Caenorhabditis elegans: one gene and its partner. The protein of the gene in region 2 interacts with the protein of the main gene of each other region in a pairwise test. Each region holds a gene or a part of one and is shown on either strand. Other genes may lie near its edges.

Region 1 (6,705 bases), on a different chromosome or scaffold from region 2:
AGAACATCACACGTTTGACACCGAAAACACGATGGATGATATCTTTTTCCAGTTCTTGCAGCCATCACACTGATTTCTCCTTCTTCAAGACGTTTTGGACACTGAAAATTTACATATTCTAGTCGTGTTTTCAAAATTTGTTGAATAATTGAATAATCCTGATTACTCCAGAACGAGTTAATTTGTAATTTGTGTCTCAATTTCATTTTCATTTTCTCATTGAAATCCGGAGAGATGATAAAGATCTAAAATCCAACATCTTCCAAATGAGATGTGCCATTCAAATTCATCTTCAAATCTCAATCTGTCACATACAATTTGTTCACATTTTGTTGCGTTTTCGCTATGCAAAATCTGGCGAAAAGAAATGCATTAACAACATGTAGTACAAGATATTTTTCACTGTTTCAGAAACAAATAAAATTAATCGTCCAAATTCTTCATTTTATTGTTAGGACAGTCTCCACAAAATATACTCCCCGCCGTCTCGAGCAGGTGTTTTTAATGAAAGCAAAAAAGTATTTATATGGACTAGATTACAAGATAAGTAGCAACATTATACGGTCAAGTGCATCCTCCAGCCGGTGGTTCAGTTTCTCCATGTGTTTCTATAGTTATGTAAATACAAGATGGTATGCCCCTACTGCTACCCTCTTGACCGTCTTAGAATCTTTGTTGGTAGTTGTAATTTAAATTTATTTTTAAGAATCAAATATTTAAATTCTCAGTTGTTTAAAGTGTGCACATTGTGAATTTTCTCTTCTGTTATAAGTTAAGTAACCTCCGCATTAACAACAGACATGTACAACCATAAGTTGATAAGACCTCGCGTCTAATCTGACAACCAGACACCTAAAATTTTGAAATGGATTAGGCAACAGACACCTCTAAACAGAAAAACGTGACAGGGTAATCCTAGGGAAAAACTGCCTGTCTTCTGCCTACGCCTGGGAGGCACGTAGAAAGGTAGTGAAGACGTACCTACCTATTTCACAACTTCAATACTTTTGTTTTCCAAGTTCTTGTACTCAGCTAATCCTCAATATTCGGCGATAATTACTTGTAAACTATCAACAACTAACAAGTACCCTTGACACGCACACGGGTAACAATTGGAACTGACACATCCAATTCAGAAAACAACATGACACTGCCTGAATTGTCTACAAAAGGCAGATGTTCCCATGTCTCCTAATTCAGGTCTTCAAACCAGATACTTGGAGGGGCAACCAACTGGGCGAAGGGTATCAAATGCGCGAAAACCCCTGACTATGAGAGGGATCCTCTAAGAAAAGTGATTGATGACATGGTAACATGGCACCCAGGAAGACCATCTGTTCGGCACTTCCCTTCCAAAAATATACTGTTTCTTTCACCCTATAATTGACTTCTTGCTTTCCTTCTCATTTTCCTTGTTAATCTTGTTATGAGTAGTGTTTAGATCAAAACGCCCCGCGCGCGCATATCGGAAGAAGCTTTGTTTGATCTACCTACCATCTACCCATGACCGGATTAGATTAACACTGAGACGGCTCTAATCAGATTATAACTCAATGAACAAACTAAAGAGAACGAGCAGAAGGAGCGGAAATTGAGTATATTACTGTACATAACATTTACATTTACTAACTTAAGCTAGACCCCTAGCAACCCTTGGAAATTCAAAAGCAAAAATTCTAAATTCCTAAAACGAAAATCCAAGCTAACCCCAACAATGAGCCCCGTTGTCTCTCCTATTAATAAACATGTAACGATGCATAGGTAATTAGCAGTGACTGCTGCTGCTCAGCTTCTCCTCTGACAAACAGCCGGAGCTTCGTAGTAAAAGAAAGATGGATGAACATTGACAATAATTGCATATTGTCTATGACTCTATCTCTGTTTCTCTATTTCTCTCCAATATTTAGATGTTGCAATAATAATTGCAGACAGTCGGTTGCCATTGAATGAAATTATCGTCAGTGGAGATTTATTCGAAATCCACTTATTATAACACAAAAAACCACATATCATAATTTAAATACTTCAAAAATGTTCAGTTTTTTCAAAGTTTCAGTTAAAGTATGGGTGTATTGTTTCAAAAAATGTTAAAATTTAAAAAAATAAATTTTGAGCATAGTTTCGTACTACTAGAATGTTTAAATAGCAGGTTCGTACAACTAAAATGTTTAAATACAAACGATTAAAACGAAATTGGAAACTCGTAGAAAGTATTTTTGAACGCCTTCCAAAATTATAGTAATGAAAAATGAGTTTTTCCCACTTTTTGACTGTATGTAAAATAAAATCAAAAATTTATTTGAACATTTTAACACTATACATAGAAGCTTTTTTTACGGTACTGACGATACCTTCAAAAACGATATCAGAAAATTAAAAAAAAAAGGTTTATTTTTCGACGAATTTTCATGATTCCATTTGTCCCTTTCAAGTTGCTGCAACTATTCTCATGCCGTACAAAAATCTAACACCTAAGCAGCTGGCTTCCCCCATCGAGGTCAACAACCTCTTCTTCTCATTCTTCAGAACTTTTTTGCCGCACTCTCGTAAGTGGGACTATCCGAGAGCAGACGGCCCTCGCCGTTGTTAATGAGCATGACCTTTCTCAAATTTCCGTCATTGTTTATTCTCAAGTGTAAGACAGTGCCTACACGTTGGGAATGCAAAGGCAAAAAGCCGCCCGACAAAAAAGAAGCCGTGAAGATGATGATGAGGAGCATCCCAGCATAAGCATAGATGATGGTGCGCGGAAAGAGAGCGCTCGCGCATAAAGATTTATGAGTTTTGGGGATGGTGCGGAAAGACGAAAAAGAAAATGTTGTTTATGGTTTCATACGCCACAGTTTGGCAAGATTTACGGTTGTGCTCAAATGGGTCGAATGTCATAATAAGGCCGGGTGACGATTTTTCAATAAAACCAAACAAATTTTGATGGAAAATACTAACCTTTTCACATTTTGTATCAAATGGAGCATATTGAACAACACCACTTCCCAGGCATTCAGTTTTTCGAGTTCTTTCAAACATTCGCAATGTATCCGCTTCTTCTGCATTTAAATCTTCACAATATCTAACATCAGAATCCTGTGGTGGTAGTTGATAACGTGATTGACGTTGTCGCCATTTTTCTCCAGCTGATCCAATGAATGGTACCTTGTTTTCCGGGAGACAGGCGAAGTAGGCATGAACCTGTAAGAATTTGAATTTGAATTTGAATTTGAATCAGTATTTGAAGTGCACAAAAAACCATCTGTTTTGAACGGTCCACAGGTTGTGAACATTTTAATTGGTCTAGGTTTTGGTGTTCAAAAACCTAATTCAATTGTTCTTTATTGCACACGAGATCATTCAAAATCTCTATACTTACCATATTCGGCTTCAGACCACTAGGCACCCATGCATACTCGTCCAAAGCACATCCACTGTCATCATCAGATGTTGAATGCCTGTGAGCATCAGCTGCAATTCGGATTCTCGAAGCAGGCGATAGACCACCTTGAGCTCGACGTGATGAGATGAGCTGCGGTGCGAATTGCTCCGATGCTTCGAGACGACGACGGCGAATTCGTTCGCTCATCTGAAATAGGGACTATGAATTGAAAATAACACATTTTCATAAGAGAATGGCAAATTATACGATAAAGTTGAGGTTGACTTGGAAAAAAAGAAAAATAGTGTATGCAAAATCACTTCAAAAAAGCCTCCAAAAAAGGGTGTGTTAAGTGTTAAGTGTGAAAAGAAGACCAGTCCCTCTCTATAACCTTTTTGCTGCCATATAAAAATGTCAATCACTTTGGCAACACCATCACCATCATCCACAAAACTAGACCGGTCTCTCCATTGCCCCGTAAATCCCCACGACGACATCTGACCGTTTCATTTCTCATTTCACTGCAGAAAAGGACATCGTCTTCTTCGTAATGTTGATTCAATTAGAGAAAAAGATTCCGAAATCTTCAACTAGAAGACGACGTCCCGTTGAAGAATGAAAAATAGTAAAGAATCGGGAGACGTGTGTTTATGCTAATTTGATATGGCCTTGTAATAGAGGAATGACTGTTTGCCGTCGCGCACGCCGCCCCGTTTTGTCTCTGTCATTATACTGGTAATAACGGAAAAGTGACGGTAACTAATGGATTAATAGGAACATCTCAAAGGAAGAACTTTAAGATCTCAACGAATCTAAAGTTTTACTGTTGATTCCGACTTTGCGGTAGTGTGTTCGCAAAAAAGTAATAAAAGTAACAAAATTTACCATGATAGTTCCTGTGCATTTTAGAATGTGAAAATTACATACGCTTCATAATTTATATTTGAAGCATTATTCTATTATAGAGATTGTGGCAAGATCCATCAAGAGGAGTAGAAGACACCTTTAAAGTCTCACGTCATGTTTTCACAAACTCTCGGTACTTGAGGATATTTTTATAAACTATTTTCTAGGTCCTTTGGAAGTATTAGTGTTTTCACAAAATTTTATTACTGTTTCAAGGTGGCCATAAATTGCGAGGGTAATGTTTTTGAGTAATTACAACTGTTATTTGTTGTTAAGGAAAAAATTGCTGGCACAATCTTTTGAGAAAAATAAAATGAGAAAAACGAGCCATGAAAAAACTATTTCGAATATTCAAGTAACTCGAGCTTTTGTGAGAGCGGAGAAAAATTATTGTAAGAAAATATAAATGTGTGTTGGAAAAAATATAGGAAGGCGTAGAATGCCTAGTTTGAAAATTTCTGTAAAGATGAAAATGATTTCTGCTCAAGCTCTTGTAGCAGTTCTGAAATTGCCATCACTTCACGATTTCAATATTGAACGCAACAACACCCTGTACTACCAGAACACCAGAATGTGTATAGCGTACAAAAAATGACTCATTTTGCGGTAAGAATGAAATTGTGAAAATTGAAAACTTAAAACAAAAGTGAAACTAATGTGGAGGGCGTTGACCGGAACCGCATGGAATATCTCCCATCAGAACCCAAAAGCTACAAGGATCCTCCCACATCAACTAGAAGGGTGAGACGCAGACCGAGAAGCAGTATTTTGAGGGCGGGGTTAACAGTCTTACCGCATGTGTTTATGTACCCCTCATCTCGGCCAGGAAGGGTCTATATATGTGTGTGTGTCTATGGGTGACAGGTGTTATGATACATCGGTACTAAAGATGTTATCGGTTAGAGATTGGAAGTCCCTGGAGGGTATTGGAGTTGGTTTTAATCTAATAGAGGTGAATAGAGTTGCGGTAGATCAAAAGTTGAGGGCTCTTTTTCAAGTCTTAGATGTAATGATTAGATTACTATTTAATTATGAACTCTTATAAGATACTAAGATACTAATTATGAACTCTAATTTCCGCTCTCAAGCCTGCTCCAACAGAATTTCAACGCCTATTAAAACGGTAATAATTCCAAGAAGAAGACCGCACAAAAAAGCGACGCATTGAGGACAGGGGCGCAATGGTGAGGACCGAACGAGAAAAGACAATAAATCGTTTTTGACACTTTTTTGCGTCGGTGCCCTATGATGCGCATGTGTGAGTGAGACGAGAGACAGACACCTCACATCACGGAAGACAGCCGGTGATGGTGATGATGGTGCATGAGAAGGGGATGAGGAGGAGAAGGTTCATTAACAGAATGCATATCATGATATCAGAATGTCAAACGTTTGCCCGAAAAAGATACCATTGGCCCAGAAGTTGCCAAAGCTTGGGCCGAACTTGGGTAAGATTTGAGCGAAAATCGGTTGAGGCCGCACTGAAGTTTAAAAAAAAACCAAGTTTGGCAAATCCCCTTGAATGCTAATATTTTTGTAAATAATATATTAACGTTTCAAATTGTGTTGCATCCACCGTTTGGAAATTTTGGTTGTTTCTCATATTTTTATTATAGTTTCAAGGTGGCCATAAACTACTTGAGAATTTTTTTGAGTATTGAATAATCAATACTAGCAAACGTTTGGCAAAGAGTTGAAATGCCGAGATTATTTTTGAAAACAAGGTCTATGAAAGTTGAATTAAAAAACGTTCTAAAGTGTTGGAAAAAGTGGTTGGTATATTGCGATGCAAGACTGTTAGAGGGTATGAACGGAAAATATCGACAATGGCCTGAAAATTCAAAATACGATTTCAGTTTACTAAACTCTATTCTGAAAGTGAATAGTTTTCAAAGGTTATGTTAAAACTTACATTTGAACACTTTTAATTACTCAAAAGAATTACCCTCGCCATTTATGGACACCTTGAAACAGTAATAAAATTTGGAGAAAACACCAACACTTCCAAATGACCTAGAAAACTTTCCCGTCTTTCTTTTTTTGTGGTTCCCATCATAGTTTTCACCTCGTGTTTCGTTCAACCGAACAAAGATTAGAATGTGAAAAAATGAAGGAATGGAAGTTGGTGCGCGATGACCGTTAAAATACATTTGATGTGAACTTCAATTTCACATTTCACGGTTACTGTCACCAAATCGAGAATAACTGGGAAAAGGGATGAGTGTATATTACATTTTTGCAAACTACTGGTAAGGTTGCACGAATTTATTATACTAGCATACAAAAATTGTTGTAAAGTTGGAGGAAAAGGGCTAAAAAAAAAGCCAAACTTTTCGAACAAAAGAACCTTTAGAAAGAGTCTTAAAACATGATAATCGATGATCATCGTCGCTGATGACACTCCTTTTTTATACCTCCGATGCCCTTTT
Region 2 (8,767 bases):
GATTTTTTTGCTGAAAACTGAATTAAAAATGAGTTTTGAAACAGAAAAATTCGCTTTTTAGGTTAAAAATGTCCATTTTTCAGATAATGTTTCTCCAAAAATAAGAATTTGCCGGTTTCCAGAAAAATTTTCGTCACGAACCAGTACCATTTTTACTGAAATTTAGGCGATTTTAGCGGATTTTTAGTGAAGAAAACGTGAATTTTGAGATTTCAGAGACTGAAAATCGTGGAAATTTGGTCAAAAACTGATTGTTTTTGAAATTTTTAATGTTTTTTGAGATTGAAAAGAGCAAAATTTGGATTTTCTGTGCAAAAACGGCAAATTTTCAGCTTTTGCACATAATTTTTTGCCGTTAACCGGATTGAAATGAGTTTTGAAACAGAAAAATTCGCGTTTTCGGTTTGAAAAAGTCAATTTTTCCGATTTTTTTCCCTGAAATGAGAATTTGCCAGTTTCCAGCAAATTTTTACAAAAAAAAAAAATAAAATTCAGGCTTAAAAACCAATGAAAAGCTCAAATTTCAAAGCAAAAAAAAAAATCAAAAAAATTATTTTTTTTTTGGAATAAAAACGACGGATATATAAAAAAGTTTAACAATGATGGGAATAATTGGAACAAAAAAAATAACGAAAAACAATGTAAAAACAACAAAAAAGGGGCAAAAAATAGAATAAAATCAACGAAAAATTGGTGAATTTCAGGCGAATTTGGATATTTTTCGTCGAAAAATTAAAAAAAAAAGCCAAATTTTGAGGAAAATGAGCCTATTGTTGCTTGGCCAACATCTTCTTTCGACGATTTTTCACCGATTTTGCTCCGGTACGGGCGGCCGCACGTTTTGGCACTTTTGACTTGAATTGGGTCGGTTTTTTGGCGCGTTTCACGTTTCCAACCTGCAAAAAATAATATTTTTATATGGAAATTTGGCATTTTTTAAAGCTTTTCAGTGAGAAAATGGCTCGAATTTAGGATTTTAAAAGTAAAATCTACGAATTTTTGGGTTTTTTCGGCTGAAAAAAGCCTCAAAAACTGATTTTTCTGAAATCTAGTCCGTACCGTATTGAAACCGTCATCCTCCTTGACAGCGGCCTGCTTCTCGGCTGCCTTCTTCTGATTACGACGCTTCTTGTTCGCACGAGCTCCGGAGCCAATGTTTTTCACTGAAAAATGGAGGATTTTGATGGTTTTTAAGTAAGAAAATTGCTATTTTTTCCATTTTTTCCAGTAAAAACATTGGAAAATATAATTTTGAGTTATTTTTAGCTTCTGATTTAAAATATTAGCAATTTCTGGTAAATTTTCTTCAGTTTTTCATAATTTTGGCTCAAAAAAAGCAGATTTTCAGCTAATTTCCTCAAATTTCTACGCACTTGGAGCATTATTATCATCATCCGAGTCATCACCATCGGCTTTTTGCTTCTTTTGCTGCTGCTTTTTCGCTGGCTTCTTCTGTCCATTAACCTCTACACCATTCTTCTTCTCCTCTTCATCATCTGAAGACTCAGAAGCCTCAGCTTCAGCCTTATTCTTCTTGTTCTGCGATTTTTGGGCGGCCTTTTCCTTTTCTTTCTGAAAAACTGACATAAATTAGGGGCTAATATCTTGGAAATTTCACGAAAACACAGAATTTTGTCGAAGCTCCGTGATTTAAGAAGATTCTTACATCAAAATAATTCATTTTCTGATAAAATTTGTTAAAATTCAGGATTTAATTAATTTTTAGTGATTTTTCCACACGAAAATTGTAAATTTTTCAGCTTTTCTAATGTAAAAAGGTTAAATTTTCGATAGTTTCGATGAAAAAAAAAAACGCAGAAAAATTGAGTTTAGGGCTGAGAAATGGGACATTTTAACAGTAAATTCATGAAAATTGAGCGATTTTGATCAAAAATTGGAGAAAAAGTGGTAATTTTACATCAAAATCGTGAAATTTGACGATTTTGAGACAAAAATAGTGGAAAATAAGCTATTTTCGATTAGGAATTCTGGAAAATGGGCAATTTTGAGTTGAAATTTGTAAAAATTGAGAAATTTTAAGCTTAAATTAGTCTTGCGGACCAAATTTCATCAAAACCACTTTGGTCTGCTAAATCGAAATTTGTAGTTTGTAGTCTAGCAGACCAAAAACTTTGGGTCTGCTAAACCAAAACTTGTAGTTTGTAGTCTAGCAGACCAAAAACTTTGGGTCTGCTAAACCAAAACTTGTAGTTTGTAGTCTAGCAGACCAATTTTTGGTAGTTTTTTCGGGATTTTCTTCATTTTTAATGGATTTTCCGTCAATTTTTCCAATTTTCTCCGCATTTTTTTACCTCCATGACACCCTGCTTGCTCATTTTCGCATTAGACAACTTCTTGATCTTTGCCACGTAGAATCCATCAATATTATGAACATGTGGATAATAGCGTTTAGTCATTGAAAGTGACGGATGGAAACGATAATCACGGAATCGTGTATATCCATCCACACCAATCGATAATCCAGTTGGAACAAGTTCACAGTGACGACGTTCCAGAAGGAAATTGACGACGGCTTCGTTTTCCTCGACGAGTACAGAGCACGTGGAGTACACGAGATATCCTGGAAAATTAGATTTAAAATTGGAAAAACGGGGGTTTTCAATATTTTCGGAGCAAAATTATGCTCTTTGAGAGCGATTTTTCAGTTTTTAAAATATAAATCACAAAAACATTGAAAAATTCGATAAGTTTAGTGCAAAAATCAAGAAATGTTCGATTTCAACGTTATTTCGCTATTCCAGAGCCGATTTTTATAGTTTTTGTTCTGTAGATTTTCCCGCAATTTTATCATTTTCAGGAGAAATTGCACATTGAAATAGTTTTTAGTGCAAAAATTGAGAATTTCTCGGTTTCTAGAGAAAAAATGTGGCTTTTAGAAAAACAATTTCAATCTTGGACGCTTTTTCGCTATTCTGGGTCCTATTTTCGTGATTTTTGCAAATTTCCGCACCTCCATTCGGAGAATTAGCGTCCAACGAGTCCAAAGCAGAGAGAATCAGCTGTCTTTGCATAGTATGACGTCTCTGAACATCCTGTGAATCTTTGGATGTTTTAACCGATTGATCCTTCCAAATAACTCCAGTTCCAGAGCATGGTGCATCCAAAAGAATACGATCAAAACCATTCGGACGGATTTTCGAGAACTCTTCTCCTCCCAGATTACAAACGACGGTATTGTTGACTCCGAGGCGATGGAGATTTCCAATGATAGCACGGCAACGGGTGAACTGGAAAAATAAAGTTTTCGGGAGATTTTTGATGAAAAATCAATTTTTTTCGGATGAAAATTGAATTTTTAGGAATTTCCCAATGAAAACCAGGCAACTTTTGATAGTTTTTCGTTCGAAAATGTCAAATTTTCTACTTTTTAGATTGAAAATTGTAATATTTCAGCCTTATCTATTTTCATCAATTTTTCACGTACATTCGCGTCGTTAGCGAACAAAACTCCGCTATTCTTCATAAGAGCAGCAATATGACTGGTTTTTCCTCCAGGAGCAGAACACATATCCAATACACGATCTCCTGGTTGTGGAGCCAAGGCCATCACTGGCAGCAGTGAATTGAGTCCTTGAATCATATAATGTCCGGCCAAGTATTCGGGAGTTGCTCCAACTGGGACCTGAGAATCATAGACAACGAGTCCAACTTTAGTCCAATCGGCGGCTGGATCCACGTTCATTCCACGGTTGATGAGGTTCTTAGCGAGGTCACGACTGAAAAATGGAAATTGTTAGCTTAAAAATATGAAAATTGAGCGATTTTGACAACAAATTGGTGAAAAACGAGTAATTTTTAGTTCAAAAGTAATAAAAAAGACCAGTTTTTAGTCCAAATGAGTAGAAATTAAACGATTTTAAATAATACAATAGTGAAAACTGGCGATTTTGGGACCAAAATTATGGAAAATGAGCTGTTTTAGATCAGAACTAAAGACAGTGGGCAATTTTGAGTTGAAATTCGTGAAAAATCAGCACTTTTAAGTCTAAATTAGTCTAACAGACCGAATTTCAGACCCAATCTATTCAAAATCACGTGGGTCTGCTAAATCGGAATTTGTAGTTTGTAGTCTAGCAGACCCAATCTATTCACAATCACGTGGGTCTGCTAAATCGAAATTTGTAGTTTGTAGTCTAGCAGACCCAATTTATTCAAAATCACTTGGGTCTGCTAAATCGAAATTTGTAGTTTGTAGTCTAGCAGACCCAATCTGATCAATACTATTTTTCAAGATGAGGACATGGAAATTTTATCACTTTCCAGTTGAAAATCGCGGAAAATAATTTTTAGCTGAAAATCTTCAAAATTGAATAGCTTTGCATTATTTTTTATGTCCAAAACTTCAATTTTATGTGACTATTTATGCCGAGAAATCCAAAAACCTCCAAATTTTACCGTTTAACCTTGAGCGAGTTGGCTCTAATGGTTACTGGTCTCGGATTGTCGTTAGCCTCCAAAAACTCCAATAGCTCCGCTCCATTTGGGAATAAATCCATGAATTTTCCCATTAAATAGTCATTGTATCCATACTGTGAGCATAGATCCTTCTTCAGCACTTCTACATAGTTTTCACGCGATTTCTGTGGATCTCGGCGATTCTTGAAGTCTCCAAGAACCTGGATGACGTCGGCAATACGCTGCTTCACAATTTCCAAGTTTGGCACGGATTTCATCTCATTTTCAATCTCCTCGACGGTTGGAAGCTCGAAAGTCGCTTGATTTGCGATGTTTAGCTGCAACTCTTCCTCTCCTTCAGCGATAATCTTCTCCTTCTGCTTGTCGAGAGCCGCGGATTTTTTCTCGATTGGCAGATGATCTCCGGCGTCGGAATCTGGAAAAAAATTTTAATTTCAGGGTTTTCAGATGTTCCCCCATACCATCATCGGAATAGTCATCTCTGAGATCTTCATCGTCACTTCCTGGGAAGCTGAGACCTTCCAGGCCGTCCTCGTCATCGTCGATAAGCTGCAGCTTCTCGACCTGCTCGATTGGTTCCTCCTCATGAGCCTTTTTCGCCGATTTCTTCACCTTTTTCACTAGCTTCTTCTTCTTTGGAGTCACTGCCTCGGTTTCCTAAAAAATTGGAGCTTCGTCGTGAATGTTTAGTGCAAAAACTCACTGCAACAGGTCTTTTAACGGCTTTCTTAACTTCTGGCTTCTCTGTAGCAGCTTTTGAGGCAGCGGACACCTTCTTCTTCTTGACAATTGCCATTTTACCTGAAAAATACTTCTTAAAGTTTGAAAAAAACGCAGAAAATAGTGACAGAATGGCGAGAAAAGTGAAAACCCCAATTCCTCCGCTTGAGACTGATTTTTACAATGTTTTACTGGTTTTATGCAAGTTTTAACTTCAAAATTTAATTTTTCACATATTTTCAAAATAAAACACCACAAAAAACTGACGAAAAGCAACGGAAAAGCCGAAAAATCGATCGCCTAAATTCGAAAGAAATTGCATTGAAAATTGCACAGGCGTGCGGTAGAGCGCGCTTGCCGACGATGGCCGTGTGGGGGTTTCTAGACCGCGAACTCTGGCTGATGCCTCAAAGGCTGATGGCGGCTTCACGTCGAAGAAGGAATTGCCACTCGTCGTGACTAAAGAAGAAACAGCGCCGACAATAGCCAAAACAGATGCAGGAAATGCAGAATCCACAGTTACAGAAGTCAAAAAATATGCGTTAACAATATAACACGTATTTGGAGCTCGAACAACGCTGACATGCCAAAATGTATTGGTAGGGAAGTTTTTGAAAGAAAAAGAGTGTGAATATATGTCAATTAACTTTATGCTCGGCAATTTTGACAATTGCCAAAAATATCAGCGTTTGGCAATGTCCGTCGTTGCCAAGCGTCAAACATTTTTGCGATTCGAGAAACAACGCCCGAATAGTAAATTATTTTATTGTAATATTTCAGAGTCGAGGCATTCAAACTGGCAATTGCTTCTGTTCTAGCCTTGTTTGGATATCTAAGCCAACTCCTTCTCTGTGTTCTGGCTATTTCAGTAATTTGTACAGAGGATGCAAAGACATTGAAAGACGAATTAGTTTGGGGACTGCTTATCAAGGATTGGTTGTTCAGATTGAAAATTGTTGCTGCAGGGACAATTATTGTTACGACCATAGTGGCGGTCTTCCTGTTATCTTCGCTATACCGCCTGTATTAAAAAGAAAAAAAAGCTGAAGCTAACGCACCAATTATTAAAACAAAAGTGAGTGAAACGAGTACAATTGGAATTTATTTCTAAATTTTAAAAATCTGCAATTTTCTGCTCTATTTTTGGAAATATAATTTTTAGAGTTGCTGCTCAATTTGTGAAAAAGTTTTCGCTGGAACTCGCATTCATTCCGTGGATGTTAATTTTATTAGCTTCCGTCACGCTGATAAAAGGTAAAAATTAAAGTTAAAACTGTATTTTAAGCTATTTTGCAGGAGAACCGAAATGGGATGATTACCAGAAAAGGGTGTTCAATTTCTGCTCACTCTCAATATTCTCTTTTGTTGCGTCGACATCGTTTTTCTCGCTGAGTTAGTTTCTAGTTACTTATTTTGACCAAGAAATACAATGAGGAAAACTATTACCTATATTCCGCAGATTATAACCTTTTGACCAGTTTTGCGATGTTACTTAGGATAGCTATCTCAAAATTTTCAGAATGTCATTCTCCAAAACATTATTCAAACAGTGAATTATGGGTTCTTCTCATTTTGTGGATTGTTTGCGCGTTATTTCTATGGGCACCTTCTTTTCTCGGAATATATGTACACGTTAGTACAATCGTGTCTCGTATGTTGATATATTTTTCATGAAAAATACAACAAAATTTCTTCTTCAGCCCAACTCGCGTTTTCGTTACAATTCTCCGTTGTCCGATTCGGTTTCTTAAAAAACTCGCTCAATAAAGTAATGTAAGTCATTTTTCATTTGTAACAGTTTAAGAAATTCTTCATATTCAAAGAATATGGACTGCGAAAGCCAAACTCTTATTTTTTACATTTCAGATTGATTTCTAACGTACCATCAAATCCCACACAAAATCAGACTGCCCCACCTGCCATTGAATTGAACTAGAATTTTAAAAAGAAATGTATTTTTTGTATTGAAATGTATGTGAATAAAGTGCGTTTTCATGCTCATTCTCCCGCTTTAGGAAATTTAACTTTTCTGGCATCGGTCCGACTTGCTTCTGGAAATTGGAAATGGGCAGAGGGAGCTAATATTGTTGGTTCAAATTATTTGACATTGACCTTGTCATTTTTGAATCTTGCCTACCTGCCTGCCTGCGTACCTTGCTTGTTTTCCCCATGTCTGTTTAAACATGTTTTTGACCCTATAAAAAAAGATAAAACTGTCAGAACAAAGAGCAAGCCGGACGATGACAATTTAGTACTTGTCTGCGTCATACCAGTGAGTCTACCGTGTAGGCGTGTAGGCGTTTGTAGGCATCGAAGAAAAAGACAGCCATAGCCTAGAAAAATCATAACTGTCAACTAAAAGCAATTTTAAATCGCTTCATTGTACTTTTTCTAGAAATGTAAAGTTTCGATACAAGAAACTCCTTTAAAATATACAGTGTGGGAAAGTTCTATAGGACCCCCCCTAATTTGAAGGTTTGAGGAACTTCCGAAAATTTTTTCGAAAAACTGCTAATGCCGTTCGTTTTTAAATTGAAAAAAACCTATATACATTTTTTTCCAGAAGTTTATCTCAAAAACTGAGGTCGCGCTGGAAAAAACGTCAAAATCCAGTGTGAAACTTCTATAGGACCCCCCGTTTTTTTTCACGATTTTTACTAAAATCAACAGATTTTGGAATTTTTGACAAAGCTCAAATCAAGTTTGAGTTAGAAATGAGTTCATATAAGCAGTTTTGACTTTAAAAATTAATACGAAATGTTCTCGTGGGATCTCCAGACTGGTTCTGATTCTTCCGATCTTTGATGTTCAAGTCTGTTTCAAGCTTCCTGGTGCTCTCGGTAATGCCAAAACTTGATAAACTCTCTTTAACAAGTTCCTACTAAAATTCCTAGCACGCACTTTAGATGTTTCGACTGTGTAGTCAAGCTGATTTGGCAAAATATGCAGCAGGAAACAATGGAAGGCTTATCAGGAATCAAATCGTTTTTCTTTGATTACAAGGTTCCATGGGACCAATATTTCAAGTTAAATTGTCCCTCACAGATGTTATTTACTATTTTTTGCGTGAATTATTAAATGTGGAATTGTGGCATGTGTTGTGGCACACATATAGAGGCTGGAAAGCTTACTTCGAAAGCAGTCTAACTTGCAATGCCTCGAGGATCTGCCCTTTCGGACACTGAACGCGCTCAGCTGGATGTTATGAAATTGCTCAATGTGTCCCTGCATGAAATGAGTAGGAAAATTTCCCGTTCTCGACACTGTATTCGCGTGTATCTGAAGGATCCGGTGAGCTACGGTACATCTAAAAGAGCTCCTCGTCGCAAAGCTCTCTCCGTGCGTGACGAACGAAATGTGATTCGTGCTGCCTCCAACTCCTGTAAGACGGCAAGAGATATTCGCAATGAGCTTCAATTGTCTGCTTCAAAAAGGACCATCCTCAATGTCATCAAACGATCTGGTGTAATCGTTCGTCAGAAACTTCGCCCTGCTCCGTTACTCTCTGCAGACCATAAACTCAAGCGATTGGAATTTGCTAAGAACAATATGGGAACGAATTGGAGTAAAGTGAGAATTTAAAAAAGCAAGAGTGAATAATTAGGATCAT

What was found. Proteins that work in one complex are often made in the same cells at the same time.
Region 1: the proteins of nsun-1 (region 2) and prkl-1 interact in a two-hybrid assay, tested with the Caenorhabditis elegans proteins (one large-scale study listed by BioGRID).

Annotation. Positions count from the first base shown.
Region 1 is NC_003282.8:6,983,359-6,990,063, forward strand, and holds the start of prkl-1 (LIM zinc-binding domain-containing protein), read right to left. Parts: upstream 3,578-6,705; coding exon 3,368-3,577; intron 3,190-3,367; coding exon 2,947-3,189; intron 2,852-2,946; exon of another isoform or gene 2,418-2,851; intron 1,977-2,417; exon of another isoform or gene 1,825-1,976; intron 1,552-1,824; exon of another isoform or gene 1,398-1,551; intron 1,190-1,397; exon of another isoform or gene 839-1,189; intron 714-838; exon of another isoform or gene 366-713; intron 213-365; coding exon of another isoform or gene 102-212; coding exon 1-101.
Region 2 is NC_003280.10:470,703-479,469, forward strand, and holds nsun-1 (26S rRNA (cytosine-C(5))-methyltransferase nsun-1), read right to left. Parts: upstream 5,239-8,767; 5' UTR 5,234-5,238; coding exon 5,141-5,233; exon of another isoform or gene 5,095-5,140; coding exon 4,899-5,094; exon of another isoform or gene 4,853-4,898; coding exon 4,417-4,852; exon of another isoform or gene 3,738-4,416; coding exon 3,446-3,737; exon of another isoform or gene 3,249-3,445; coding exon 2,972-3,248; exon of another isoform or gene 2,801-2,971; intron 2,582-2,800; coding exon 2,313-2,581; intron 1,573-2,312; coding exon 1,374-1,572; intron 1,164-1,373; coding exon 1,060-1,163; intron 897-1,059; coding exon 768-896; 3' UTR 560-767; downstream 1-559. Other genes in the region: W07E6.5 (G_PROTEIN_RECEP_F2_4 domain-containing protein), read left to right, coding at 6,375-6,411, 6,454-6,549, 6,677-6,808, 6,858-6,930, 7,024-7,093. UniProt on the Caenorhabditis elegans protein: Methyltransferase which methylates the carbon-5 position of cytosine 2982 to 5-methylcytosine (m5C2982) in 26S rRNA. May play a role in the translation of leucine and proline codons.